Ovis aries: one gene and its partners. The protein of the gene in region 5 purifies or fractionates together with the protein of the main gene of each other region. This does not show direct contact. Links are inferred from orthologs where the notes say so. Each region holds a gene or a part of one and is shown on either strand. Other genes may lie near its edges.

Region 1 (3,875 bases), on a different chromosome or scaffold from region 5:
AATTTTAGCAGGCTGTCTCCAGAGGGCTGAAGGGCTCTGCTAAAGTGCCTGCTTCCCCCAAAGGCATCTCTATTGTTCTCTCCTCTACTTTAGAAGCTATTGACTTGCAGGTGCCACTCTCAGCCTGCACTACTACTGCTGTCTAAGGGAAGGGCAGAAGACTCGATAACCGAGCAAAGGAAACTGGGAAACACTGATGCCACCTCTCCACTCCAGTCTGATGAAAAGTCAGGCAGGGTAAACTGGAACTGTTAAGAGCAGAGAGGGCCATCGGTCACCAGAGTTTTCTAACCTAGCCGTGGAACTCTGATCCCCAGTGAAAAGTTCCTGACTAGAGTGCTTGGATCCTGGAATCCAGGAATTCTCTGATATTACATGGGAGTTAGGTGTGTCTGTGCTGTGAATTTCTCTGGACAGCCATTTTTTAGCTTTCATCAGATTCCAGAGAGGTCCAGGGCCTCCCTCAAATTAAAAGCATCGGCTAGTGAGGGTTCCCCAGCCCTACCGTACCTCATGAATTGGCTGAAGGCTTTGTAGTTGGTGAGTGTGTGGTAATCTTCCTCGGAGAACACATGTTCCACGTCCTCCAGGCCCCAGGTCAGAAGTAGGGTTGCTGATGACTTCTGTTCCACTTGCTAGGATACCAGGCTTCTGTTAGCCAGGTGCTCTCCTAACTCCAGTCCTGGGCTCCCCCCACCCCCTGACATGCCTCCCTGCCCACTCACCAGCTTCTCTGGGCTTCCAGTTTTCTGTTCCATTCCCAGCCCAATCCCACTCCTCATAAACCACAGCCTCTCCATTTGTCACCCTGCTTGCCCAGGGCTCTCCCTCCCCTACTCTTCAGGCTTGTCATTGATACAGATTTCTTCCCTCACTCCCCAAATCTACTCACCTTTTGCCCCCCCTCTCCCTCCCCTTTTTTCCGCCGCTTTGTCTTCTTCTCCTTTTTTTCTCGGTGCTTCCGTCTCCGTTTCCGACCTGGTCCGGTTCCATATTCACTGCCTCCACTCTCTGACTTCTCCCGGTACTCATCTCGCTCAGAGCCAAATTCCTCCTCGCTGTCCTAAGGAAGAGAAATAAAAACACTATTTTTTGAGCCCTAGCGTGTGCCAGGAACTCCTCTTAGCACAAAATATCATCGTCTCTTTTAAACTTCACAACAATCCTATGAGACAGCAACTAATCTATTTTTATCCATTTTTTTTTTTTTGTAGAGGAAACTGAGGCACGGAGAGCTAAGTAAGCTGCCCAAGAAGATAGAGGACTGCTGGGCTGTGAATTCATGCAGTCTACCTGCAGTGCTTCCAACAGCTTCTCTGTGTTGCAGGGCAAGTAAAGTCGACAAAAGGGCTCTTCACTAGGATGTAGTGAGTAAGGTTAGGGTCCCAGACCTGGGAGATACAGGCTAGCAGGAGTGGGGCTAGGGGCAGGCAGAGGGAGTCAGGTCTCCCTGACTTCAGGGTCCCCATGGCAATCAGGCCCAGAGAAATCATAGGTCTCTGGGATGGGTCTCCAAGCCTCACTGTAGAGACAGGCATGCGTAACACTTACAAGCTTCTTGCGTTTCCGGGGCTTTCCTGGCTTGTTCTCCTTCTGTTTCTTAGGTCCTCGCTTCCTCTTCTTCACGCCCAATGTTGAAGGCAGCAGTCGAATGTCATCCTTATCTTTGGAGCAGACAGCACCGGAAAACCTAAGCCTCTAGGCTCCCAGCCTCTGCAGCCCTTTTCCTCCCTCACCTCCTTGGTTCCTGCTCTCTAGGAAATCCAGCATTAACTCTTCCAAACCTTGCCTCCCTTTGCTGGACGCAAACAGAGAGTGTTTCGAGTACTCTGGGATGCCTGGGTTGTGAATGGGAGGTCAGGGGTCAGAAGAGGAGAGCAGCCAAACCACTCCTGTCTCTCCCCTCCTACTAACAAGGGACCAGGCTCTAGGCCATGGGCTCTGACTGTGGCAGGTCCTTTTAGTCGCCGCCAGGGCTCCTCCTGCCTTCCCCCTCACTTAGCCAGCTGGCATCCTGCCCAGGAACTGGGGAAGCCATGCCCAGCTGCTGGCCTGGCCTGACCCCAGCACTTGGAGTGGGGAGACACAAGCTGGCAGCTCCCTAAGCCAGATGCTGAGAAGGCAGAGCCAAAGGTGGACACCTGGGCTCTCACACTAACACCCTGGGGCCCTGACATCCTTTCTGTGAGGAGTGAGGCCTCTATTTACACTTCCTCAGATAATCACCCAGACTCCTGTCACCCCAGCATAGCCCTGGAGGAAAAGAAACCCTCAGTCAGCCATGTTCACTTCTGGCCCACAGGATCTTGGTGTCTGGCTCCTTTGTCACTCCCTAGCCCCACAGGAGAAGGTCTCCACAATTACCTATACATTCTTCCTCCTCCTCCCAAGCAGCCTCAATTGTGCCTTCAAATCTACATCCACATCCCTGTTCCCTTTGAGAACTCAGGCGCCCTACCCGTTGTCCCTGGTCTCACCCCTTGCCTCCAAATGTAGTCTCAAGCATTCTAACCCATTCATATCTAAGCAGTATGGGAGACCCACACAAAGACACTGGACAGGCATAGACACACCCCTCAAATGCATTCTCAAATGCACAAGCATCACATACTCATGAGCACAAACCCAGAGGACAATTTGTACATGCTTTTAGCAGGGCTAGGTCCCTGGCTTTCTCTCCAGATGTCCCTGTCAGACAATCTGGGGCTGGTTCTTCCCAGATGTCCCCCTCTCCCCATTCTCCATGACCCCTGCCACACTGTGGAGGCTTAGGGTTCAGAGAATAACTACTTCAGGAGGAAGACACAGCCGATGCCACACAGAAGTGAGGCCCCGGTGTGAGGCCTCCCTCCCCCAGCAAGCACTAGACTAACCAGCCAGACCTGTCCTGCTCAGGTAGAGGCAGCAGCGCTGGAGGGAAAAGCCTGGGCCGGCCCAGCCCCTTGCTCTAGGACACACAATCCTTCTCCCCACAACAGCCAAGGGAAAATTAGCCACAATTTACACCGGAGGCCTCGGGTTTCCAGCGCCTCAGAATCGCGGCGCCTCCTTCCTTCAGTGCTACTTCTCACAGCTCCGGCATCCTGTGCCCTCTCGCGCGGGACGGCACTCTAAAATTGGGGGGCTGTGGCGCGGGGGGGGGGGGGGGGGGGAAGTGCCTGCAGGCAGCCCGGGGTGTGAAAACAGAGTGGGTACCGTAATAGGAAGTCAGTAAGACGCCGTGCCCCGCAGCCAGCGCTCTCTCACCCCAGGGACTCCGCTAATACGAACATGGAAACGGAGGCTGCCGGGGCAGTAGCAAGGGCAGGCCAACTGGCTGAGGATCAGGGAAATGGCCTCGGTCTCCGCCAGCTGGGGGTGGGGTGGTGGGGGGACACCAGCCCTGGGACCTCGCAGCCAGTTAACTCCACTCTCCACCCCAGCGGGAGGTTCCCCAACTTGGGAAGACGGCGGTAGTGCGGGGACGCAAAGTAGACGGCTAGGAAAGGAGAGGGAGGGCAGGAAAGCAAATCTAAGTCCCAACCTCTGCCTCACCAGCCACTCAATGCTGGCCGCGCGCCCAGACTCTCCCACATCCCGGCTCAGATCTCGGAAGACGGCGAGGGAGGAGCGCGGCGAGGGGGCCGGGCGGGGCCTGGCGAACCGGAGAGAGGGAGGGGCCTCGCCGAGAGCCTCGCCTCCCGCCCCTCTCTTCTTCTAATCTCACCATCAATCTCTCACACATATATTTATTTTTTCTCAAATTCCCCTCCCTCCCCCACAACGAACCACCATAATAGGTCTGCTGCACATGCGTATTGCATGCAGGGGGTGGGTTTGTATTTTCAGACCTTTTGCAAAGAAACTACCAGAATTTTCCGCACCACCCACAATCA
Region 2 (4,545 bases), on a different chromosome or scaffold from region 5:
GCTCTTAAACATCACATGCAACCCTTACTCTCTTGTTTTCTACTTGCTAATAATAGTTTGTTTTGGGGGCTCTCAAGGACAGTACCTCTCAAGCCAGTGCCAACACCTTATTCCCCAAGGAGCTGCAACTTGCCCTGAAACCTTAGTGGAAAGGGTTAACTTGGTTGGGTGCCAACCAAACAGGGAGGGGGCAGAAGAGCCACAGGCCCAGGCTCATTGGTGCATTGTTCCCAACCTCAAGGAGAAGGGGGGGGCAGGGGTGTGCAGTAGGCTCCACCCCTTGCCTGTGTGCTCCGGAAACCCTGTGCTAAGGCAAGGGGGACCACACCCCCCACAGCCTTTCCGATTGGACAAGACCAAGGTCAGCCCCTGCCAGACAGGGTTGGAAACCCCAGAGAGCCAGAGAACTTGGTCGGCCCAGGTCCTCCTTAACCCCTTCACGCCCAATGCTCAAAGAAGCCCAAAATAAGGAAAATAATTTAGAAAGGAAGAACAAGAGAAAGGGGAAAGAAAGCCAAAGCAGGAAAGGAAAAAGAAACTATAAGAAAACAGAAAGCTGTGTATCTAAAAAGATGAAAGCATCAAGAGAAGCAGGATAGGCTGAAAAGAAAAGGGAAAGATGTAAAATGGAGTCCAGGGCTAGGTGAGTCCTAGGCTATGTGAGAATAGAGAAAAAGCGCAAGAAAATGTTCCTGGCTTCCTATTTTCTCCCATCAGTGTAGTCTTACCACCTCATGATCACACCAAAAACCTGCCTTCCTATTATGCAGGCTTCTCAGTCCAGTCTCTTCTCTTCACCTGACCTTCGCAGTCACCACCTATCATCCCAACACAACCGAAACTGTCCCCCTAGAGATCTGCTTCTCTAAAGTGCTTCCTCATCCCCGATTTACATACTATCATCTCTTTAACATACACCATTCACAAAGGCAGATTCAAAAATACACACTCACACACAAGCCAAATTCTGGCTTTCCTTATCATGGCCTCTCCACCTTGCTTCTAACCCAACATGTAAAAACAGGCCTCCCTCTGCAGACCAGGCACTTCCCACCCCCAAACTCACACCCCTGCCTTGGGCATGCTACAAGAGAACACCTGCAGGGACATGCCCAGGCTTCAGATCATGGGCAGGGGGAGACAGGGAAACCGGGGGTGGGGACAAAGACACTCACTGGCATTACTATCAGCCAGGCTGTTGAGGCTACTCGAAATGTCCCTTCGCCGGAAAAGGCACACAACCTTTGCCTCCACGTTTCCATTTGCAGTCTAAGGAGAGAAAAAACGGTGGTGAAAACTAATCATTTGAAAGTGGAAATGCATAAAGAAGAGACTAACATCAGTGAACAAGTTTCTAAAGGATGTAAGAAAAACTCAAATTATGAATCAAGAGATTCACATTTAAGGACAGACTTCCAAATCCCTTTCCTCAGCCCCCCAAAAAACAGAACAGTAAAGTTCCCACTAAACTCTTAATAGCCTTTCCTGAAAGCGTGGAAGAAATGAATGAATGAATATGCATGGGTACTTAGGACAGGGTTTCTGTTATCGCTTGTCTCTCATTCACCTGAAGTTACAGATCTCTGAAAAAAGAAGACGGAGGTTGCTGGGTAGGGGGGGAGTGGCGGGCCTCTGCTCTACTCACCTTGTTGAGCTCTTCAATCCTTCTAACCAGGTAAGGATTGCTGGAGGAGTTCTCAAAATAGACGTAATCTGTAGGAGGGGGTGGGGGAAGAACCGGGAAGATCAGAGGAGTAGATGGGAGAGTCCAGCACCAGAGTGGGAGGAGCGAAAGGAGGCCTGAGTAGACCAAAAGGAGATAAGGGTCTAGGTAGAGAGGACGCAGAAATGTGGAAGTGTACAGACTAGCAGAAAATAATGGACGGACGTTCCACCCCCTAATCACCCAGTTATTAAATCAGATCCTCCGCTCAAAAGTGAGCCTTAAGGAGGAGACAAGAGAAGCAGGGGGTTCCCCTGCTCAGCAGTCCCCACAACTCAGCGATGGAGTTGCATCCCGGTCTCGTTCAGGAGAGCAATTGCTCATCCCTGTACAGGGCCCCCACCTTTGTGAACCGAGGCGCACAATAACGCCTGGGAAAAGGAAACCTCCCGGCCGCTCCCCCGTTGGTGGCCAAGCAGTTGCGCCGGCCCTTCGCGCCCCCTGCCTGCCCTGTCAGCCCCTTTGGAACCACTTTCGCAAGCCCACTCCACGACCCCGGCGGCCCAGACGCTGCCCTGAGAGTGCCGTCGGGCCGCCCGCAGCCTCCCCGGGAGTCTCGGAGCCCGGGCGCGTCGCGATCCCCGCGCCCTCGCTCCCCATGCTCCCGGTTCCGGTTCCGGTCCGCGCTCTGGACCACGCCGCCCCAGACGCGGGTCCCCGCGCCGCTGGGAGCCGAGCCTCTCCCGCCCCGAGTCCCGAAGCCCCTAACACCCGGTACTCACCCCCCACTCGGTACATGTTGGCCGCCATGGCCGTTCCCGCCGCCGCCGCCGCCGCCTCCGGCCGCACAAAGGGGTCCGGAAGGCTCCCGAGGGCAGGACTCGAAGCGAAGCCCTGAGCGCGGGGCCGGCGCTTCGCAGAAGTCTCAGTCGGGCCCGCGCAGCCGGCGCCTCCGCAGCCTCAGCCGTCGCGGCTCATCCCGGCCCGCGCTGTCGCCGCCGCCTCTATAGCCTCACGCCCGGGACGCCGAGACCGGCGCCGGTCCGCTCGGCTTCTTCCGGAACGAGCTCGGATCCCGCCGGACCGGAGGCAGGCTGCAACTACCTCCGCCCTCGCCGAGTCCCACCAGACGTTGGACTCTGAGGGCCGCCGCGAAGACTTGCCGGCCCGCCTCGGGGTTCGCCTCCTTCCGGAACACCTTCGGCGGATCCGGAGAACAAGGCCCAGCACTCGGCTCCGGTCGGAGAGCAAGCCCGCAAAGCTCGGCTACTTCCGGAAGAAGTTCGGCTCCCTCCGGCCAACCGCGGCCCGGCACTCGGCTATTTCCGTTGCGGCTCGGCCCCGCCTCCGAGGGCGGGGAGAGGAGTTGGGCTTAACTCTCTGCTAGCCGGAGTCTTGCAGCTCCACCAGCGGCCGCGAAAAACTCGAAGGGCCTTTGAGCCTCGCAGTTATTTGCAAGAGGCTTCGCCTGTTATTTGCATAAAAAGTCCACCCTCCCTCACCTTTTCCGCATTCCCCTTTGCCTTCCTCCCCGCCCCCATAAAGCCCCGAGGCGCCCAGCCGCGCCCCACAAAAGGACCGGGAGGCGACTTTGCTTTTGGTTTATTGCCCCTCAGCAGGCAGCGGGAGTCAGGGCCCAGGCTGGGGCTGCCCGGCTCAGCCAGCGGGTCTATACAGTGTGTGCAGGGGTGCCGTTCGCCCCCTCCAAGGAAATGCACTTTTGGGAATGTCTCGAAGTCGAGGACAGGGTCACCTCGGTCCTGGGGAATTTGGGTGGGTGGGGGCAGGGCCACACTGCAGGGCCGGTGGGTCCAGTCCGGCAGGGGTCAGACGTCAAGAGAGGAGGCAGGGGACAGGGAGGGGGTTCGAGAGGGCGTGGTGGGCACCGGCCCCGTGCCCCCAGCGCCCAACACTCGCCACTGGAAGATGCTGGCGTCCTTGCCGCCCAGCGAGATGAGGTGCGAGTCGTCGTGCGTGAACCGGACGCTGGTCACGTGGCTGCCGTGACCACCGTACACGAGGCTCGGCGCCTGGGCAGGAGAGAAGATGGAGCTGCAGCGGCCGAGGAGCTCCGGCCGCCCGCCCCACCCCGGAGGCCCCGGGAGGCCTCACCTTGGCGTGCGCGCACGGGTACTGGAAGAGGTGCACTTTGCAGAAGTCGTCGGCAACGGCCACGACGCGCTCGTTGTGGGAGCGGCACAGGGAGTTGATGTCAGTTCCATCCGAGCCATCTGGCCACACGCCTGTCACAGCAGCCGGCCTCAGCCCGACCTCCCCGCCCCCACCCGCGGTCCAGAGCTGCACCATTTCCCCCCTAGCTCAGGCAGCCCGGCCACCCACCCACCACGTTCCTGGCAATCCTTCCCAGTCCCGAGGGCCAGTGGCGGAGGTGGGGGAGGGGGGCGGCTCTTGGGCTGGATCTGCCAGTTTCTTGACGTCCACCCCCTACACATGTCCAGCATTCCGAGCCCCAGGCTGGCTGCACCTTGTCCCCCCACACTCACGCAGGTTTCCACGGCCCTGTGCCCCTTCTCACCGTAGACATGGAAGCCCAGCACGCAGGTGTAGGTGGCCCACTCCCGGTCTCGGCTCTCATAGCGATTCCTCAGCAGCTTACAGCCTCCAGCCACATCCCCTGGGGAGAGGGAGCCCACCCAGCTCAGTTCTCACCCTGTCCTCCGTGGGGAGGATGACATGGGAGGCCAAATTGGAAAGACTGGCTTGAGGCCACAGCATGTGATCTGGTCAGAGTGGTAGCCCTCAGCCCAGGGCAAAACCCAGCCCCTTGTGCTTCCTGAGTTCTCATCTGAAGTTCTCCTCTCTCGATAAGTCAACCCCTCCACACCTGTCCTGAGAAACTTTTCCAAAACAATCTTTTTCCT
Region 3 (3,875 bases), on a different chromosome or scaffold from region 5:
GCATGTTCCATTAATGTTTGGCCATGTTCCGTTGGTTCTGGCTTCCCCCGTACCTACACCCAATCTATGCTTTGTCTCGGGAACTCTCCTGACATACCTGGGGTGTCCTGCTGTGACCCCTGGACGTTGACTCAGATCTATAAGGAGGGTCTTTGTTTCTGCTACCACTGGAGGAGGCCCAGGCCTCACTGCTAGAACTGGACTTTCTGCTTCCAAGCTTGTGGCTCTGTGCACTGAATCCTGGCCTGTGCCCTTTAAGAGGGGTGGGTTCTGAAGGTACACTGCTGGTGGGCTCTGGGCTGGGGGTCTGGCTCTAGCCTGGCTTCTTGCAGCTTGGTGGGTGTTGGAAGTAGAGCTCCTCCATCGGTTGTGAGATGTACTTGTCATAACCTCTAGGGAGTGTCAGGAGCCTTCAGGGCCCCAATCTCATAGATCCCCAGAGTGGGTCGGGAGACTGGCTCCTGGTAGAGCCACCTCTGATCACCCCCTCCCTGTGGGCTGATGTGACAGTGGTGGAGTGCGGGTGTGGGAAGCTGCCCTTTGCTCTTCTCCTTCTTTCAGGCAGCTAGAGAGAGACCTGGCCCGTGGCCCTGATTGGTGTCCACTCTCAGCTGGTCCCACCTGTCTCCCCACAGCCCCAGTGGTCGTGGGCCCACGGTGAGGGCCCCCCCACTGTTCAGGCCGGCCGTGGTAGTCCCAGCAGCTCAGGAAGGGTGGGGCCCACAGGCTCAGTGACTGCCAGCCCTGCCTGCGTGGTGGGGTGTGCCTTCTAGCCCCAGAGGTGTGGGCCAGACTCTCCCCTGGCCATCCGCGCTCACCTGACAAAACTACCTGGCGGTCCTGGGCCCTCAGTTCTGCCCACACGGGCTTTCCTGCCCGGGGGTGTGCTCCCAGCGCCACTTCTTCCCCGTGCCCCTGGCCTTGAAGGAGGAAGCTTGTCTTGGGTCTCTGGACCCTGAGAACTGAGAGAAGCCTTTGCTCAGAAGGGGAGGGATGTGACTAGCTTGACTCTGAGGGTAGCCTCAGGGCTGCATCTTCCTCTTGTTACCAGATCCTGTCGCCCGGGGTCCCCAGAGGGGAGGCTGAGACTGGTGGGCCAGTCGGTGCAGCCAGGTTCTTCTGGCTTCTCCATATGAGAGACCAAAGCAAAGGGACAGGGACACTGGCCCTGCCTGCCTGTCCACCAGTTTGGGTCTGATGACATCAGAATACTGGTTCCCTGCTGCAGAGGCATCCCCTGCTGACCTCTAGAGAGTTACCCCAGCCCAGGTTTGGAGCCCTGTGGCTCCTGCTTGCCAGGCCTGGAGTCACACCTAGACTAGTGCTCTCTCTCAAGACTTCTGGGACACATGACCTCCCTCCTCACTGACCCAGTTTTCTTGTCTGTTGTGAGGACTGGATGCAGTTGTTCCCAAGAACCCAAGGCAGCTCTCATGTTTCCCTCTGCTCTCTTCCCCCAGTGTTCTCGGGAGGCTGTCCTTTGAGCCCTGCCTGGCCACAGCACCTTCTTCAGGACCCAGTTGTCCTTTGTGCCCAGCAGCCCATGGCAAAGGTGCCTTCAGGGCCTCCTGCCAGCTGCGCCCCCAGCTTCTCTCGCCACCTGACTTGCTGGCTGTCTCTGATCACGCAAAAGACCTCGGGCTTCTCGGAGGCTTCCCACACCAGCTTCCCCCGGCCTGACATCATAAAGGACTTGGATCGCTGCCCTGGGCTGCCCCCCACCCACCTTCTCCATCCTTTCTTCCTGCGTCCTTGACTAGGCACTGTGTTCCAGTGCTCGGTGGGGGCTTTGCCTTCAGAAGCCCTCTGGCCTTTGGTTGGTCGGTGTTCAGGAACCAGCAAAGGCTACCAGGTAGCTGTGGTGGGACCAGAGCCATGTGTGAATGTGGAGCTGGGCCTAGGCCTCCTTGGGCTCTGCCTCTGTTCACTTCCAGCCCTTCCACACGCTGGACCTGGGGACCTGCCTGTTGGGTCTCCAGGCAGGGGTGGGCATGTCTGGGAGTGTGGGACCCCAGTCCTCTGGCAGGTGCAGCACACGTCCCTGGAGGGTCTCTAGGCTTGAGAGGGGTGAGGTGGGGCCGCCCCATCTGGCTGAGAGAGCCCTGGGGTCCTTTTCCCTGGGGCAGCAGGGTCTTTGCAAGTCAGCTGGACCAGTCCCTAGTTGACCCACGAGGAGACGGGAGCATAGAACAGAGAGTGCTGGCCTCACCTAGCCTGGCCAGAGTTGGTCTGATGGGGCCATGTCCTCCCCAGAGCCCTGCGGGTGACCCCACATGCGTTTCCTTTGCAGGACGAGATTAGATGCACCCCGATTGGAAACCAAGTCCCTGAGCAGCTCCGTGCTGCCACCCAGCTATGCCTCAGATCGTCTGTCGGGAAACAACAGGGACCCTGCTCTGAAACCCAAGCGGTCCCACCGCAAGGCAGACCCCGATGCTGCCCACAGGTACTCAGCTGTGGTCCCTCAGTGCAGGCCAGCAGAGCGGTGCCACTACCTGACTGCAGAGTGAGATGGGTGGGTGGTCTGGGGTAGGTGGTTTGGAGCCTGCCATCGCCCACTTTTTCAGAGCCTTCTGTCTGCTTTGCTGCAGTTGGTGGTGTTCCCAGCTAAGCCCTGACTACCTTCCTGTGGGGATGCTGCAGGCCTCCCCTTGTTCAGGACACGCTAAGGTGCTCCTGTGGGTTCTGTGGGAGTTGGAGGGGAAGTGAGGGACTTGGAAGTTTGCGGAGCAGGGTTTCCTCCCAGTAGGGTTCTGAGGAAGCTGTTTACACCAAGACTGGAGGATGGGATGGTATGTAGGAAGGGCAGTACGGTCAGAAGGTGCCATGTAGGCTGAAACCCCAAGCCAGGAAGAGCTTGGTAGTTCCTCGGGTAGTGGGGCTGGTGAGCAGAGAGGGAGAGTGGGCATTGAGGAGGACTGAGAAGCCAGGGAGGCAGCAGGACCAGGCAGGGTCTCAAGGCTGCGATGGGAAGGCCACCTTGTGTCCGACAACCTTGGTAGTGTCCTGGGGTACAGAGTCAGAGCCCAGCAGACCCACGGGTGACTGGGGCGTATCTCAGAAACTGGGTTTGGGGCACTGGCATCTCGTGGGGCCAGGGCACGGGGCAGTGCTTCTGCCAGTGCCGCCCCACAGGGAACCAGCCAGCGGGGGTGGCTGGGTAATGCCTCCCTGATGCCTCCCCACAGGCCTCGCATTCTGGAGATGGACAAGGAGGAGAACCGGCGGTCTGTGCTGTTGCCCGCACACCGGCGGGCGGGCCGCTTCAGCTCCGAGAACTACCGGCGCAAGTCCTACGAGCCCGGGGAGGACTGCTCGGAGGCGGCGGGCAGCCCCGCCCGCAAGGTGAAGATGCGGCGGCACTAAGGCAGCGCCTCCGGACTCGCGTGATCCTCACTAGCTGCCCCTCCTTTTGTTCTGTTTTGAGGGTCCCCCCCCCTTTTTTTTTTTATTCTATTTTTTTCCCCTTGGTTTGTTGCCTGTTAAGGCTGAAGAACGGGATTGGCCAGGACCTGGTTCTCTTGTTCTGGGTTTCCTCCTGGATGGAAAGGCTGTTGGCATCTGTAGGCACAGAAGCGCACACTGGAGGGGCCAGTAGAGGCGTGGAGGGCTGTGTCAGGCTGGGTTATTTAAAAACAGCGAAATGTTTTGGTTAAGAAAATTCTTGTTTTGCTTTAAATGTAAATCTTCTCAGTGTTGTAAATGAAGTTCTGTCTCCTCCCTCTCCTCCCACCTATGTCTGCACTGGGGTGAGGTCCTGCTGGCTTTGCAGGGGGCCTGCTGCCTTCCTACCGCTCACCTGCTCTCCAGGCCCAGCAGCTCAAGTGGATACCCCTCCTGCCGCTGTTGGGGAGATGACAAGCAGAAGCCTGGAT
Region 4 (4,374 bases), on a different chromosome or scaffold from region 5:
CCAAGGAATCAAACCAGTCTCCTGCATGGTTTAAGCCCCGCCCTCTTACTGCAGGGGAATAATGCAAGAAATTTTATCCCTGTGCACTGAATTCACGATGTAATTTCCAAGTAAGACTTGCTAGAATGGACTCTGACAACAAAAGCAGACACTGTCCCAACAAATAAGTGATTAATTAGGCAGAATTTCACATCAGAGAGGGTTCTTGAGAGAGAGAAAGAGAAGAGAGGGAAGGGTACTTACAGGGACTCCTCTCTATCCGAACTGTTTGAAGAGCAGAATTCTTTCTGGAATTAGGCTTGGAGTCGATGAGCAACCTGTCCCATATACCTGAAAACACACACACACACTTCCTTTATTAAGGCACAAAGAAACAGGAGCCCAAGAGCAGACTTTCTGAGACCACCCTCCATCCTCAAGTCTTGACTGTTCCTTCCTCACTTTCTAACACATTAAAAAAAAAAAAAAAAAAAAAAAGAGCACTCCAAGTTTCATTACAACATTTTAGTTCTTTCTGCAGATCTCCCCCCTTTAAACCTGTCTCTTACATCTCTGCCTCACCAATGTCAGGTAATAAATGCCCACTAAACTGCACCTTTCTGGGCCAGAAATCTACCAGCAACAAATGTAGGTCGGCACTGACAGAATGCAGGAAGCAGTACAGAGTACATAAGGGTTAAGTAAAGCCAGAAATGGTTTACCAGTTGCATTATACTGGGCAAATCACCTACACTTTTTGAGTATTAATTTCTTCATTTATAAAACATCTCTGCCTGGTAAGTTCCCTTTCAGTCAAGATGTCTGATGTAGACAAAACAGCCCTTTAAAGAGAACCCCTTTAGCCTTTTCACAGCTCCTCAAATCAACCCAACTCTCCAGCCCATCAGAGCACAGAGAACAGGACTTAACTTTCAAAACCCAAGGCTTTATGCACCCTGGTTCCCACACCTGGAAAATCTCTTCACTCTGGTATAAAAATCCTGTTCACCCTCAAAGCAGCAGCTCAACACTCCTAGCGTACTATCAATAGCTTATACCTAATAACTGGATTAGTGAAAAGAGCATGGACTCTGGGGCCACACTGATTGGATTCAAATCCCAGTTTTGCCACTTTCCACCCACATGATCTCCAACAAGTTACTTATCTGTGTGATACACCAGGTCTCAGGTTCCTCTTCTATACAACTGCCCTAACAGAACCAACTCCACACAGGGAGGTTGTGAGGATTAAATTTAGCGAATTAATTCCTGGGGCAGAGTAGGCACTAAGAAGCTTCAGCTATTATTATACTGTCTTCGAATGCTCTCCATTCTCACAGAATCTTTTTTCAAGTTAACATTTAATGAGGATATGCCCACAACATTACACTCATTCTTCTTCTCAGAAAACAAACAAACAAACAAACATTATAGGTAATACTACTTCCATTTTCCAAATGTAAAAACTGAAGCACTGGGGATGTAAACAACTCTCCTACTATGGTGCTGAAGATTCTTGAGAGTCCCTTGGACTGCAAGGAGATCAAACCAGTCAATCCTAAAGGAACTCAACACTGAAATATTCATTGGAAGGACTGACGTTGAAGTTGAAGCTCCAATATTTTGGCCACCTGATGTGAAGAGCCCGACTCTGATGCTGGGAAAGACTGAGGGCAGGAGGAGAAGAGGGCGACAGAGGATGAGATGGTTGGATAGCATCATCCACTCAACGGACATGAGTTTCAGGAAACTCAGGGAGATAGTGAAGGACAGGGAAGCCTGGAGTGCTGCAGTCCATGGGGTCGCAAAGCGTCGGACATTGGCCACAAAAAGGTTCCACAGCTGGTTGGCTCTTCCTTGAGCCAGCCATCTGTTCTAACAGCGTCTCCCACTCGAATGAACTTTATTATCCAACACCGGCCCCCTCCAAAAAGAGTTCGACAGCTAATTACTCGTGGGGTTGGGATTCGAACCCTAGTTTGTTTGTTTTTTTTAGCTCTCTATTATGATGTCTAAAAACCTACGAGGGTTTCCTGGACGCGTCTCCCTCTACCAGAGCAGCTCACTAAGGGAGCGCACTAAGGGAGGCTCTGTGAACATCTGCAGAGAGAGGGTGCTCAATCCATAATACTCACCTGCTCCCCTTAAGCCAACTGCTGGAACCCAGACCTGACTCTAAGGTCGTCCCCTTGGGAGGGGGAGGGGGGCGAGGGGAGGTCGTGCTGCGGCGCTCAGCACTGGGCACTCAGCACTGTGCCTAAAACATGAAAACACAAACCACCCTCGGGCTCGAGGCCGGATGCCCACACCTAGGCCGGCCAGTCCCCCAACCCCGCAGCCGGGGGCATGTCCGGGTCCCTCGGCGGTGCAGGGGCTACGCAGGTAGCCCCTGACCCGCGGCTCCAGCAGCGCCGCCCCCAGCTGCACGTGCGCGCCCCACGCCGCTGCCGCCCACCCGTCCGTCACCTCCGCGGCCGCCGCTCCCTGCCATCAGCAACTCCTTGGAGACCGAGACCCCGGAGCCATCCCGGGAGGACGACGAACAGCTTGGGCCGGACTGGGATTCGCCGCGAACCTCCATGCTGCTCGCTGGCCTTCACAGCGGCCTCTTCAAGCCCGGATGCAGGAAAAAGGCTGGGGTAGGAGGCGGGGCCAGGACTGCGATTGGAGGAAACTCGTAGGAGCGGGGCGAGGGGCAGGGCGAGGGAGGGCCGCGGCGAGGGCGGCACCTAGCGGAGTGAGGAGGCCATTCCTATCCGGAGAAAGGGTAGGTGGAGACTCTAGAGATCTGTGATTGGATCAAAGAGTTAGCAAGGCTGGATTTAAAAGTGAAGAGCGCACCATGGGGGCTGCCCTCCCCTTCAAACCTCTGTGACGTAGAACACACTTTGACTGTCCAGTGGTTAAGACTTGGACTTTCAGTTCAGGGGGTATAGGTTGGATTCCCGGTCTGGGAGCTAAGATCCCACATGTCTCCCAGCCACAAAAACAAAAATATAAAACAGAAGCAATATTAAAAATAATTTCAATAAATACTTTATAAATGATCCACATCAAAGAGAAATCTTAAATTAAAAAAAAAACCCATATACTCCAGGCAAGAGTACTGGAGTGGGGTGCCATAAAGACTCCAATTTCTCCACATCCTCGTCAATGTTTATTTGCTTTTTCTTTCTTTCTTTTTTTTTTAAATAGTGGCTGTCCATCCTAGTTGGATTCTTCCCTCGTGGCTCAGATGGTAAAGCATCTGCCTGCAATGCGAGAGCCCTGGGTTCAATCCCTGGGTTGGGAAGATCCCCTGGAGAAGGAAGTGGCAACCCATTCCAGTGTTCTTGCCTGGAAAAATCCCTTGGACAGAGGAGCTAGTAGGCTACACTCCATGGGGTCTCAAAGAGTCGGAAACGACTAAGCGACTTCACTTTCTTTCTTTCTTTCTTTCTAGTTGGTGTGAGGTGATAACTCACTGTAGTTTAGATTTGCATTTCTCTTGATGCTTTTGAACTGTGGTGTTGGAGAAGACTCTTGAGAGTCCCTTGGACTGCAAGGAGATCCAGCCAGTCCATTCTGAAGGAGATCAGCCCTGGGATTTCTTTGGAAGGATTGATGCTAAAGCTGAAGCTCCAGTACTTTGGCCACCTCATGTGAAGAGTTGACTCATTGGAAAAGTCTCTGATGCTGGGAGGGATTGGGGGCAGGAGGAGAAGGGGACGACCAAGGATGAGATGGCTGAATGGCATCACTGACTCGATGGATTTGAGTCTGGGTAAACTCCAGGAGTTGGTGATGGACAGGGAAGCCTGGCGTGCTGCGATTCATGGGGTCGCAAAGAGTCAGACATGACTGAGCGACTGAACTGAACTGAACAATTAGTGATATTGAGCATGTTTTCACCTATTCATTGGCCATTTGTGTATCTACTTTGCAGAGATGTGTATTCACATCCACTGCCTGTGTTAGGTTGCTTTGTTGGTGTTGAATTGTAGGAGTTATTTATCTTTTCTTATCAGATATATGATAATATTTTAGAGACATAGACCATTATGAACATACAAGAACTCAGGAAATATTGCTCCCAAACTCTCCTTGAGGAATTTCCTAGAAAATATGATTCAGAAAATAATTGGAGAAATGCAACTTAAGTTTTGGTAGTATTTTACAGTAGAATTGGGGGAAAACAGTGAGAATAAGGTTGAAAGAATAGTCTTTAATTTTTATAGGTTTTGATAGCATGGATATAAGACAAAAAAGGGGGAGAAAGCAGAGACTATATTAGTTAGTTCAGTTGCTCAGTCGTGCCGGACTCTTTGAGACCCCATGAATCGCAGCACGCCAGGCCTCCCTGTCCATCACCAACTCCCGGAGACTATATAGTAAGAGGAAATCTGACTTTTTAAA
Region 5 (3,875 bases):
TTATTGTGATCCACACAGTCAAAGGCTTTGGCATAGTCAATAAAGCAGAAATAGATGTTTTTCTGGAACTCTCTTGCCTTTTCCATGATCCAGCGGATGTTGGCAATTTGATCTCTGGTTCCTCTGCCTTTTCTAAAACCAGGCTGAACATCAGAAAGTTCACGGTTCATCTCTTACTAGCGTGTGAGATGAGTGCAACTGTGCGGTAGTTTGAGCATTCCTTGGTATACCTAGTTTTCTAGAAACAAAATTCTAACATTTTCGTTTATCAAAAATCATTCTCTTTCTATTCACATTAACATTGGTTGCTACACTCTTTTAACTGTACTTTTTCTGCCAATTTCCCACAAGCATAATCCTTACCTTTGCAAATTCTGGAGGTGGACTTTTCCCTCTACAGAGATTAGACAAAGCCCATACTGCATTCCGGGTCATAGTCAGGCGGTTCTGCTTTGAAAATAACCTATAAGTATAATGATGCAATTGGTAAATGATATAATGGGCATCAATTCTCTGATGGCATAAGATAAATATTTAACCACTTAATGCTACTGATAGACAGATGTCTTCAAATAGCTCTTCTCCAGAACAATAAAGTTTAATTCTAACACAAAGAATTCAGAATTTTGGCACTTCTTTTTACACACCTGAATAAGACAGTGCCCAAGGAAATGAGCTGAACAAGTTAATAAGAAAATATTTGTAATGAAAAGCAACACTAGGAAATCCAAAATGATTTCCAAAGATGCATTTGTTTCTGAGGAACGTCCCATATTTTTATTACTCACAAAACAGAAAGAAACTTACTGCAGAAGAGGGGGAAGAATATTGCAGTCTAAGACATAGTCCCTGCACATGGTACTATCTCCAGCAATGTTGCCAAGAGCCCAGACTGCCTGTGAAAGAATTATTCATTAATGACAGGCTGTAGAGTTTAATTTTCTCATAGTTCTTTCAAAAAAGATGCCAATAACACAGTAGCTAATCAACATATTGTACATGGACATTAACTACTAATACCTTTAAGCTCACTCATCAGGGAGTCAAATGAAACTGTTATGTGACTGGTAGAAGATCAGTAATATTAACAGTATGCATGTGAATATACTTATGGTAGTGAAGTCATTAAAAAGAGGTACCAGTTCTTATATATTCTTTACCTTAGGGGGTCTTATCCTTAAGTAACATTCTGTGCAGCCCTTGGAACATATCAGAGATCCAAATGGTTTACTCAGCTGATTTAAAATGTATTTTAAGCTTGCTTACAAAAGAAAACAGTGAGCCAAGAAATTAAGAGCAATAAAAACGCAGAAAACTTGACTCAATTTTGGGAAGTGGATATACTAGCAATCTTGACTGTAATCTTTCATGGGTACACACATATGTTAGAACTTACAAATTATACACTTTAACCATATGCAGTTAACTGTAGCTTGATTATACCTTAATAAAATTGTAGAATAAAATCGTACTCATTTAGTAACAATTTGTATTTATGAGTTTGACAAAGTTTGCAATAATGAAAAATGCATTTTTTTCTAAGTGATTTTCTGCACAAAAGTAACAAAGACTTGCTACTTCAATCAACACTAAACAGTATTACACACATACAAAAAAAACTCAGTAAGTGCTTACATGGTCTAAGATGTATATGTATGAGACTTCAAGAATTTCAGGGTTGGAATGGAAAAACGGTTTTATGTTTCTAGGAGAAATTCTGCCTATATTCAATATGAAACTTCCTATTTAGATTACATTTAGATTTCTGGAACACTCCATGTGAGAACCATGGACTGTCATATCCAAGTGGTAACACTAAGACTCCTGAATATAAGACTCAGGAAAAACTGTATTCTTTAACCTGCTTCTCTTTACTTGTTTCATCTTTTACCTGTTCCTGGACATCTTCAAACTCTGAGCTGAGCAACTCTATGAAGATAGGCACAGCTCCTGCCTGAATCACAATCCGGGTCTGAAGAGAATTTCCTGAAGCAATATTTGTCAGTACCCAAGCTGATTCAAACTATAAAGATAAAAATAATTTCATTATCTTAGTAGAATTTAATAGGTTGTTTACTTACAACAATAAGGTTTTCTTAAAAAAAACAACAACACTTTTCTATGCATGAAGAAAGAATGTGAGATCATTATTTGAATATAATCTATCAGGTAAATACTATACTAATTTAATAGAATTCCCAAAGAAATAACCTTCATCAAGAATACTGATTGGGTGTCTAAAATTTCAGATCCAAGTAGAGCTGACTGACATGAGACCACAAGAAGAATGAGGGAGTGTTTGGTACCATACTGTATTTTTCAAAAGGGTTAAGAAAGAGTATATGCATTAATTTACTTATTGCATAGGATATCTCTTGAAGGAATCATAATAAACTGTAAATATTTTCTACTTACATAGAGAGATCTAGGTGAATCAGAAATAAGTACAGGAAGGATAAACACTTATTAGAGTAAAACCTTTATATACCTTTTGGCGTTAAACCATGTTTATTATCTAATAAAAAAATTAAATAATTTCTATAAAATAGGAAAAGTGAAGTGGAGAAAGAATATTAGTGTAAAATGTATAAAACAGAGGCAGAGTGAAAAAGGTGGAAGACAATTTAAATGATTAAGTAGACCAAAAGGAGTTAACAGGCATACAACTAACAGAAATGGCAGCTTTAGAGTATAACAGATTCCAATAAATGAGCAGCCTTCAAACCAAGGCACAGAGGTAAGACTTTTTTAAAAAGAGCATTCCTAAAGGTTAATAAACTGGTAAAGAGAAGGAAATTATGAAGGATTATGGCCAACAAAAAATACAGCACATTATTAATCGTACACATCTCTATGGTACCTTGACTCTTTAGCCCAAAAAGATGAAATCCAAAAATAAACTCTTAAAATCCTATTTAGAGTTCTTAATTAAAATTCAGCTTTATTTCCTTCTCCTGTTCTGTCTCCTATTTAATATTCTTTAATGAAGTATATATGTGGTGGCAAAAAAATTTAGAGATATGCCACTTCAATGAGAATCTCAATTTAAAAATCATCAAAAAATGGAGCTGTGATTCTTAAGCTTTTGGGTCTACTGAAAGGTAGCTGTCATACAGAAAAATAAATCAATCACTTGGGGTATGGGAAAATGAAAGAAACGGGAAGGCAATCTGATTAGCACAGTCCAAAGATAAATGAATGAATGACAGTAAATTCACTTAAAGAAGGGGATATTCAAAAAAACCTATAAATGTGAAATACAGAAGTGAAATAAAGTGGTCTGAAAACCAGTTGGGACACTGATATTAAAGAAGCAGGGAGGCCAGACTAGGAGCACCACAGTTAAAGGGACTTTTTGCATGATAACTCCTTACTATAATCTTACATGCTAGTAAAGTAATGCTCAAAATTCTGCAAGCCAGGCTTCAGCAATTCTTGAACCATGAACTTCCAGATGTTCAAGCTGGTTTTAGAAAAGGCAGAAAAACAAGAGATCAGATTGCCAACATCCACTGGATCATCAAAAACGCAAGACAGTTCCAGAAAAACATCTATTTCTGCTTTATTGACTATGCCAAAGCCTTTGACTGTGTGGATCACAATACACTGGAAAATTCTGAAAGAGATGGGAATACAGACCACCTGACCTGCCTCTTGAGAAACCTATATGCAGGTCAGGAAGCAACAGTTAGAACTGGACATGGCACAACAGACTGGTTCCAAATAGGAAAAGCAGTACGTCAAGGCTGTATATTGTCACCATGCTTATTTAACTTCTATGCAGAGTACATCATGAGAAATGCTGGGCTGGAGGGAGCCCAAGCTGGAATCAAGACTGCCGGGAAAATACCAATAACCTCAGATATGCAGATGAC
Region 6 (3,875 bases), on a different chromosome or scaffold from region 5:
CACTGCTTTAAATCATGTGTTTAAATTAACAACTGAAAATTGTTCAACAAAGAACAGAGAAAAATAAAAGCATGACAGCTTGAGTACATTGCTGCTGCTGCTGCTAAGTCGCTTCAGTCGTGTCCGACTCTGTGCGACCCCACAGATGAGAGCCCACCAGGCTCCCTCGTCCCTGGGATTCTCCAGGCAAGAACACTGGAGTGGGTTGCCATTTCCTTCTCCAATGCAGGAAAGTGAAGTTGCTTAGTCATGTCCGACTCTTAGTGACCCCATGGACTGCAGCCTTTCAGGCTCCTCCATCCATGGGATTTTCCAGGCAAGAGTACTGGAGTGGGGTGCCATTGCCTTCTCCTGAGTACATTGCTGCTGCTGCTGCTGCTGCTGCTAAGTCGCTTCAGTCGTGTCCGACTCTGTGCGACCCCATAGACGGCAGCCCACCGGGCTCCCTCATCCCTGGAAAAGGTCCTCCCAATTACCTTTTCAAGGTAAAACATGGAAGAACAGTGCATTTCCCCCTAAAATCATAATTACGCATCAGGATTTTTCAAGAGAAATGTGACAGGAAAATGACTCACCTGTGGGACCACATTCTGTACGTATGTTGGTGGATGCTGCTGCTTCTGCTGAACAGCACTTTCTATTGCTACTTTAGCTACAGTGCTTGGATCTGCTCCTGCTGGCACCGCAACCATCGTTGCACTGCAGCCAGCATTGTTGGGGTCACTGATTGTAACAATTCTAACTCCCACTTTATTTGGAATTCCTGTGACTGTTTCCCTATCATTATCCTCTGCTGGCCTCTTTACAGTTTTGCATTCTGCTGTGCCATTTGTAGACCGAACGTCAGACAACAGGGCAGGAGAATGGGACACTCTTGATCCTGAGTGGGGAACGGCTATGATTTGATGCCCCTGTATAACAGAGGTTGCAGAATGTGGTGAGACAACTACACTTGGGCGTTGCTGAGGCACATCTGAATTCAAACTTGAAGCTAGAGGTCCATTAGGCAAATCAGTACCACTAAACTGCTGTGTTGCCACATTTGAGGCCTCCTGTATACTGCTCACAGATGGTGAAACACCCAAAGTTAATATAGGTCCATTAGAAGTTCTTTCTAGTTGATCACCTTTGGCAGTATCTTGCTGAGTGGCATCTAAAGTCCCTTGTGGTTCCATTGGAGATATCTCACCATTTCCTACATGATTGGAAGTTTTGTGATTTGGAATGTTTTTGCTTAAATGAGAACCATCTCCTTTATCAAAATCACAGATTCCATTAACTAGAGGTTTTTTCAAATCACTTTTAATATCCTGCATGTCCATTTGTTCTGAGTTCTGTTTTCCAGATGCTCCATTCTCACCTAACTCTAACGATGGCCCATTACTGATTAGTGAGCACTGATTAGCCTCACTTTGAATTTTCCCTGAGTTTGAAGGAGGTAGACTTGAGTCACTGTATTTTCTCCCATTTAAAAGACTTCCCACCTGCATTTCATTTTCCTTTGTATCCCCATTGCTGGTGTTTGTGGTTCCTCGTCTGCAGGACGGGTTCTCCATGACTTCAATTTTACGTTCATGAACATGTAAACCTGTTGCTTCTTTTGCTTCCTCCTCCTTTTGGCAAATTATTTTATCACCTTTGAATGGGGGAGTAGCAGTGGTACAAGATGATTGTCCAGCTGGAGATGCTTGAGTGGCTGGAAGCGTTTGCACCTGAAGTCCAACTCCTGCCTGGGTCCCGCTCATGGTAATTCCTGCTGGAGCAATGAGCTGAGTTGTATTTCCCTGACTCACAGTTGCAGTTGCAAAACTTGTATTTGGCACAACCGTTATGGTTACCTGGTTGCCAGAAGTCCCTTGGAAAATGGTTGCTGGGCTATTTGAAATCAGCGGGCCTGGCAATATTTGTAAGTTCGAGATGGGCACGGTTTGCACTCCCCCAGTGGGTGGCATTGCACTTTGGACCAACTGAACATTTTGCTGCCCAACCAATAGCTGCTGAGCTGGAGTTTGCCCTTGCACTCCAAAACCTGCTGCTTGGTTATTGGCCACCTGGTACACCACCTGAGGACTAGGAGCTCTTGCATTATTTGGGGGAGGAATCTGTGGAGCTGGGAGAATAAGCTTACCACCGGGAGTTGAAGGACCACGCTTTGGAAGCAGCAACTGTTTTATCAGACTCGACTCACCAGAAGCAGGCTGACCAACTCCTGCATTCGTTTGCTGTGGTTGAACTTGCATCTGTACTTGTTGTGGCTGCTGAACTTGTACTTGTACCTGTTGTGGAGGTGCTGGTGAATGCTGCTGCTGTTGCTGCCTTTTCACAGACAGCATTTGACTGACAGTAGGAGGTGGTCCCTGCGGTTGAGGGGTGGAAGAAGATGACATGGCAGTAGGGACCTGGTTAGTAGTAGCTGGGACAGGTGATGGTGAGGAAGATGGAGTAATGCTTGGTTGTCCAGTTAGCTGAACTGCCTGGCCAGCTGGAAGAGCTGCTGGATTAGCAAGAACAATTTGGTGAATGGCTGGTGCATAAGTTTGACCTTGTTGAGCTGGCTGGCTTACAATCACTACACTTTGTTGGGGTGGCTGCTGTGGCTGTTGAATAGGCTGTTGTACCACTGTTGATGAAACTTGCTGAGAAGGGAGAGGTTTTGGTGCAATGTTTTGAAACCCTACCCTTGAGGGTTGCGGACTTGGGACACCAGCAATGGTAACCATTTGTCCTGTAGCTACCTGAAAATTCTGTACTGAAGTTGCTGAGACAATATTGGATGTAGAAGTCGTTACATACTGTGGGGGTGCTATGATAACAGTGTCCTGTGGCTGGCTACCAGCTGATGTCTGCTGAGATGAAGTTTGTACAGGTTGGGGTGATGTGGTGATTAACTGTTGACCCTGTGAAACTGTAGAAGTACATGCTGGTATGTTCTGAACTCTGCCAAATATATGACTCTGTGGGACAGCTTGCTGAATCACTGTAACAGGAGTGCCAGAAGGTATCTGCCCCGGTACCACTGTGTGTAATGGAGACTGCTGTGGAATTACTGATGGATGGTGAAGCAGTGTCTGGGAATTTACAACTGTAACAGGCTGTGGCCCTGTACTATGATTCTGAACCACAGAACTCTGTGCAGCTCCTCCTCCCACAGCAATACTAACAGGAACTGCTGTCTGGGGTATAGAGTTCTGGATTACTGTAGCCTTAACAACTTCACAAGGAATTGGAGCTTTATTTTGAATGACGGTCACCGGAGCATTTTGCTGCTGGTGGGTATGAACTGAAGGATTTGGTGGAATTCTTGAAACAGTCTGTGCCACAGTATGAACACCTTGTACTGGAAAAGACATTTGTGTTGCAGTCAAACTTGAAGATTGGTTGGTAACAGGAGTCCTCTGAAAATGGTTTCCTACAGTTTGTGGTCCATGAGGGATTCCTGAAAATATAAGGAAAAGTTAAAATTCACAGTGAAATGACTGAAAAGCAGCATGTAGAAATTATTTTACTTAATTTCAAGAGAAAACAGTTTTAAGAAATTAACAACTCTGCATTATATGAATATGATAAAATAGAATAAGAAATAAAATGTTACTGAAAAACAAGGACAAGTCATACATCTTAAATGTATATAATACATGTTTTCATTTAGCCTTCTTATTAAATTGATAATATTTAATCACAATAAAAATTAATACCTGCGGGTGAAGGACTTGGAGATACATCAGGTACAGAATCAACACGAACAACAGGAGTAGAAACAGGTTGCTGCTGATAGTACATCTGAATGGGAAGTGGGATAGCCCTACGTTTTACTCCTACTACATGAATATGCGCCTGCCCATTGTTACTGGAATCCTCCACTCTCTTCACTGTAT
Region 7 (4,608 bases), on a different chromosome or scaffold from region 5:
TACCTGGGAATGGGAATAGGAACTAACTTTAAATGGGCATATGGCATGAGGGATCTTACTGGGTGATGGAAATGTTTTAAAAGTGCTTTATGGTTGTACAATCGATAAATTTACCAAAAAAAGGTCAAACTTAAAGAGGACAAATTTTATTACATGTATAATAAGCCTCAATAAAGTTGTAAAAACAAAAAAAACACTCCAAGAAACCCACATGATTTAAAAGGATCTTTTTATCTGAGGAGTTCTATAGCCCTCAATAGAAAGAGAGGCTCAAAGTTCACAAAAATCTACAAAATTATTCTATCAGGTCTGCCCAAATTTAAGAACAGCCAACCATATTCATATTCATATAACCACATAAGCCCAGTTCTTGCCTTGGATTTAAAAATCTCAGAAAGGAACACCACCATCAATGTATTTGGGATCTATGGTATATCTTATAAATGGAAGACAATTGGTCAAGTGTCCACTTGTAGAAATATTTAAATGCTCACCTGAAAGAAATTTCATCAGCCACCCTCTCCTGAGAATCATCCTCTGTGATCTCATAGCGGCCTTTATAGTTCATTTCTAGTCTGTCTCCTACTCTCTCTTTGACAGGTCGTTTCCTTTTGGGATGACCTTGCCCATTTTCCTCCTCCTTTGGTCCCATTTTTTTGCCACCATGCATATATTCTTCTAGCTCTTTGTCTAATTCTTTTGTATGTTCTTGAGATTCTCTTTTAAGTTTCTTAGCAAGTAAATAATTGTAGGTCTCAGACTGTCGGCTTCTGTCAATAGTGCCCTCCATTCCCAAGATACCAAGTTCAGTGGCCACTGCGTCTTGGTTCTGTTCTTGCAGCACAGCACTCCATATGTTGTTCACCTTCTTCCTTCCAGCTATAGGTGGTTTCTGGCTGCTCTGGTCAAACTGAAAAGGCTCTGGTTTGGGAGGGGTGTTAAAACATTTCTGTCGCTTGCGTTTCCAGACAGAGCTATCATCATCTGAATCTGAAAAGCTCTCTTCACTTGAATCCACACTTTTAACAGTCCGATAATGGGATGCCGGGGCACACACTGTTGCAGTACTCTGGAAGGGCCGCAGTGCACAGTCCCCACCTAGCGCTTTCTGCAAGTGAAGGAAAATCACAATCAACTCCACAAAAGACATTACCCACACACCCTGTGCTATTTAAAAAAAAATTAGGGATTCAGCTGAACCATTTTAAAGCAGCAGTGATCTTTGAAGATCTCTGAAACCAATTCGGTGCCTGAATTTCTAAAGGTTTACATGGAACTTCCTTTTTGGCCACTTGAGGATCCCTGTGAGTGTTAGCCTGTGTCACTCGGGTATCCTGCAAGCAGCCAAAAAAAAAAAAAGGGGAGAGAGAGAGAGAGAGAGAAATCCATGTAAGGGACTGAACTGGTTTCAGAGATCTTCCAAAGATTACTCCCTAACCAGGAATTGAATCTGAGCCCCCAAGGTCGATGTGGCCAATATTAACCACTAGACCACCAGGGAACTCCCTGGAATTTCCATTTTTAAAGCCACAAATTCTTATTTCTATATAGCTAATGCAGCACTTAGTGCTAAAACAGCTTTCCAGAAAATTATCAAAGCTCTTAATTCTCACTTTCAGAAGATTTTCAATCTTTTCAGTTGTCAGAACGTTTGAAAATCACATGTTGAACAATTGTTACAGGCAGTTAGAACTTGTTTTCCTCTTTTCCAAAGGTGCCTGTCATGTATGTGGATATATCAACTACCTTTATAAGGTTTTGGGACTATGTTCCTTTTAGACTAGAGAGTGAAGTCCTATGTGTAAGCATCCCTGACAAATTACTTGTAAAACCGCAGAGTCCATGGCATTACGTTTACTAAGTCAGGAGTCAATCTAAGGAAAATTGAAAAAGATTGAAGAACAAAATATCTTGGTACCGATTTCCCAAGATGCTTCTATGCAAAAGGAATCACCTTTGCTTTTTCAACTAAACATCAAAGTATTTGTTGAGCTCCTAATCCGTGCTAGAAATTGGGGAGGGGTATTTTAAATCTAGCAGTCTCCGTATCTGGAAACAATAACGGCACTAGCACTTGTCAGCCACCATTTAGGCTCCACCGAATCCTTACAGCCACCTATCACTGTGGTACTATTATTCCCACTCTAAAGATGGGGCACAGGCTGAATACCTTGTCACCGAACACACAGTGGCGGCTCTGGAATTCCAACGCGGGCAGCCCGGCACTAAAGCCTTCTCAAAACAGCTTGCTACTTAGTAGGGCGGCCAAGATAAACGCCTGTTTAGAAACCTGGGAAGCTAACATAAAACCCAGCGGCACATTAGGGCACGACGAAGCTAGGTTCCATGGGAATATGGAAGAACAGGCCCCTGAGCAAGAGATGAACTTCATTCTCGATCCTCACTCCCTTTCTCCTCGGGGCGCAAATGAGCGCCACAGGCTGGTGGTGGGCCGACGTCCCCACGTTCTACATGTTCGGGAGAATTTGCCCTTCGGGGAGAACCCAGCGACGCCCAGTGGGGAATTCCGTAGGTTTAGAAAACAAGGAGAGGAGCACGGGAGGCGGGAAAGACGACCGCACGCCCGCCTCCGGGAAGCCGCACGCCTCGCGCACCCCGCCTCGCAGCTAAATGCCAGGCCAGGTTCGTAGGGCCCGCCGTCTCCCCGCCGCCTGCCGGGCTCCGCGCGCCCGACAGGAGGACGCCTGGGCCCCGCGCTCCCGGCCCCGAGTCACCCGCCTGCCCTCCGCACTCACCGGCACCGGCAGCGGCCTGTCGCTGGGTGCCACCGTCATGTCGGAATCCGAGTCGGAAACCTGCCCATCGTCCATGTCGCCGGCCTCCTGCGCCATCTTCCCCCGGCGCGGCGCGGCGGGCCGGGAGGGCACTTCCGGCGGGGCGGCGGGCGGTGGGTGCTCGGGCGCCCCCGCGAGGGGGCCTCTCTCGCCCGGGCCGCCTGAGTCGAGACTCGCTGATGTTGCGTCATCATTGCAAACTGCTCCCTTGTGCTGCCTCAACACCCTGGCGCCTTCGCTTCTGACCTGCTCTCTTCAAACCTAAAGATGTGCACGCATGGCAGCCGTGAGGGATTCCTCCCTCGGTCTCACAGTCCTCGCCTGGATGCTCCAGGCCGGCCTTTCTGCATCTAGTCTTGCTCCTGTGTGATCCACTGCAAGGAGCTTCCTGGGGAGCCTTCCAGACGGAACGTGAAGTCTCCGCCCGGCTCAGACCTCAGCACAGCTGACAGAGCTGGAGGTGTGTGCTTCAGGCTGGGGTCCCCTCTCCTGCTCTCCAGCCACGCTGGCGCCTCTCACGTTGTTCCTCAGGCACCCTTGGTCCTTTCCCGGCCCAAGGGCGCTGCAGTTACTGTTCCCTCGGCCTGCAGACCCTCCAGTACCCCACACCCCGTTCTTCCGGAGATTATGCTCTCACATGATTCAGAATTCTGATTAAATGTGCCCTTCCCACAAAGGTCTTCTTCAAGCACTCTCACTAAAACAGGGTCCTTTCTTTACAGTCACTCTCGCACCCTTTTTATTCCTTCATGGCTTCAATAGTCATATGCCTATGTGTTTAATTTTTTTGTCTGAATTCCCCACCAAAATGTCTATTTTATTCATTTTTTTCTGCCGGTGCCCAGTCCAGTGATTTCTTGTATGTAAACATGGTGAAGAAATATTAATTGAATTTTTTTCGGCAAAAGTGAAGTGAAGTCGCTCACTCGTGTCCGACTCTTTGCAACACCATGGATTTTAGCCTACCAGGATCCTCCACCATGGGATTTTCCAGGCAAGAATACTGGAGTGGGTTGCCATTTCGGCATAAAGGGGATCTTATTGTTTGTACTTTTTTACTATTCTGTAATCTCCTTTCAAAAAGAAACAATATAGCTGTTTATCCAGGATGCTTTTCTAGACCAAAATATAAAGATCTAGCTCCTTTTTAATGACTTCCCAGTTTTTCCACTGCATGGAGGTAGCATCATTTATTTAGTTTCTGATAGTGTACATTTAAAGTGTAGCCAGTTTTGCAGTGAACATGTCTTTTTACAGACTTGTTTTATTATTTCCTTAGTATAGACTGTATGGGAAAAAATGAATTTATATTTTTGAAATATGAATTTAGTACCTATAAAGGAACTTAGAAGTCACTTGGGCCCATTTTATTTTGGTAACTGAAGGGAGATTACATAGCTAAGCTATTGCAGACATCTGTCCTGACTCCTGGAGAAGGAAATGGCACCCCACTCCAGTGTTCTTGCCTGGAGAATCCCAGGGACAGGGGAGCCTGGTGGGCTGCCATCTCTGGGGTTGCACAGAGTCGGACACGACTAAAGTGACTTAGTAGTAGTAGTAGTAGTAGTAGTAGTAGTTCTGACTCCAGGTCTCCTAATAGGTCTATTAGGTTGTCTAAGGTCTCCTCTTAGACAACTGATATTTTACTTCTTTTGCATAGAATTACAGTTCCCCTGAATGGGTTCTTGTGTGTAGTGTGAGGTAGGAGTACATTTTCTTGCTGTTATTAACATTATACTGTGTGGTATGGGATGCAGCTAAATATCATATAATGCATAGGACAGCCCCTCACACTGAAGATTTTCTCCAATGT

The links.
Region 1: the proteins of KPNA1 (region 5) and CHD3 purify together in Homo sapiens (affinity purification with mass spectrometry; 3 studies listed by BioGRID and IntAct, with this or other methods). This does not show direct contact. The link is inferred for Ovis aries from reciprocal best matches to the Homo sapiens genes KPNA1 and CHD3.
Region 2: the proteins of KPNA1 (region 5) and MTA2 purify together in Homo sapiens (co-immunoprecipitation; 3 studies listed by BioGRID and IntAct, with this or other methods). This does not show direct contact. The link is inferred for Ovis aries from reciprocal best matches to the Homo sapiens genes KPNA1 and MTA2.
Region 3: the proteins of KPNA1 (region 5) and ALKBH5 purify together in Homo sapiens (co-immunoprecipitation; 3 studies listed by BioGRID and IntAct, with this or other methods). This does not show direct contact. The link is inferred for Ovis aries from reciprocal best matches to the Homo sapiens genes KPNA1 and ALKBH5.
Region 4: the proteins of KPNA1 (region 5) and NOPCHAP1 purify together in Homo sapiens (co-immunoprecipitation; 3 studies listed by BioGRID and IntAct, with this or other methods). This does not show direct contact. The link is inferred for Ovis aries from reciprocal best matches to the Homo sapiens genes KPNA1 and NOPCHAP1.
Region 6: the proteins of KPNA1 (region 5) and ARID2 purify together in Homo sapiens (co-immunoprecipitation; 3 studies listed by BioGRID and IntAct, with this or other methods). This does not show direct contact. The link is inferred for Ovis aries from reciprocal best matches to the Homo sapiens genes KPNA1 and ARID2.
Region 7: the proteins of KPNA1 (region 5) and PHAX purify together in Homo sapiens (co-immunoprecipitation; 4 studies listed by BioGRID and IntAct, with this or other methods). This does not show direct contact. The link is inferred for Ovis aries from reciprocal best matches to the Homo sapiens genes KPNA1 and PHAX.

What each region holds. Positions count from the first base shown.
Region 1 is NC_056064.1:27,388,363-27,392,237, reverse strand, and holds part of CHD3 (chromodomain-helicase-DNA-binding protein 3), read right to left. Parts: intron 1,665-3,875; coding exon 1,552-1,664; intron 1,064-1,551; coding exon 893-1,063; intron 636-892; coding exon 511-635; intron 1-510.
Region 2 is NC_056074.1:37,480,728-37,485,272, forward strand, and holds the start of MTA2 (metastasis-associated protein MTA2), read right to left. Parts: upstream 2,855-4,545; 5' UTR 2,474-2,854; coding exon 2,446-2,473; intron 2,342-2,445; exon of another isoform or gene 2,067-2,341; intron 1,714-2,066; coding exon 1,646-1,713; intron 1,270-1,645; coding exon 1,176-1,269; intron 1-1,175. Other genes in the region: EML3 (echinoderm microtubule-associated protein-like 3), read right to left, coding at 3,490-3,693, 3,776-3,906, 4,200-4,298. UniProt on the Homo sapiens protein: May function as a transcriptional coregulator. Acts as a component of the histone deacetylase NuRD complex which participates in the remodeling of chromatin.
Region 3 is NC_056064.1:34,171,391-34,175,265, reverse strand, and holds part of ALKBH5 (RNA demethylase ALKBH5), read left to right. Parts: intron 1-2,290; coding exon 2,291-2,446; intron 2,447-3,188; coding exon 3,189-3,366; 3' UTR 3,367-3,875.
Region 4 is NC_056056.1:174,141,006-174,145,379, reverse strand, and holds the start of NOPCHAP1 (NOP protein chaperone 1), read right to left. Parts: upstream 2,850-4,374; 5' UTR 2,561-2,849; coding exon 2,446-2,560; intron 331-2,445; coding exon 244-330; intron 1-243. UniProt on the Homo sapiens protein: Client-loading PAQosome/R2TP complex cofactor that selects NOP58 to promote box C/D small nucleolar ribonucleoprotein (snoRNP) assembly. Acts as a bridge between NOP58 and the R2TP complex via RUVBL1:RUVBL2.
Region 5 is NC_056054.1:187,729,858-187,733,732, forward strand, and holds part of KPNA1 (importin subunit alpha-5), read right to left. Parts: intron 2,024-3,875; coding exon 1,892-2,023; intron 897-1,891; coding exon 808-896; intron 464-807; coding exon 364-463; intron 1-363. UniProt on the Homo sapiens protein: Functions in nuclear protein import as an adapter protein for nuclear receptor KPNB1. Binds specifically and directly to substrates containing either a simple or bipartite NLS motif.
Region 6 is NC_056056.1:140,643,758-140,647,632, forward strand, and holds part of ARID2 (AT-rich interactive domain-containing protein 2), read right to left. Parts: coding exon 3,696-3,875; intron 3,437-3,695; coding exon 576-3,436; intron 1-575. UniProt on the Homo sapiens protein: Involved in transcriptional activation and repression of select genes by chromatin remodeling (alteration of DNA-nucleosome topology). Required for the stability of the SWI/SNF chromatin remodeling complex SWI/SNF-B (PBAF).
Region 7 is NC_056058.1:25,008,748-25,013,355, forward strand, and holds the start of PHAX (phosphorylated adapter RNA export protein), read right to left. Parts: upstream 2,874-4,608; 5' UTR 2,853-2,873; coding exon 2,757-2,852; intron 1,109-2,756; coding exon 495-1,108; intron 1-494. UniProt on the Homo sapiens protein: A phosphoprotein adapter involved in the XPO1-mediated U snRNA export from the nucleus.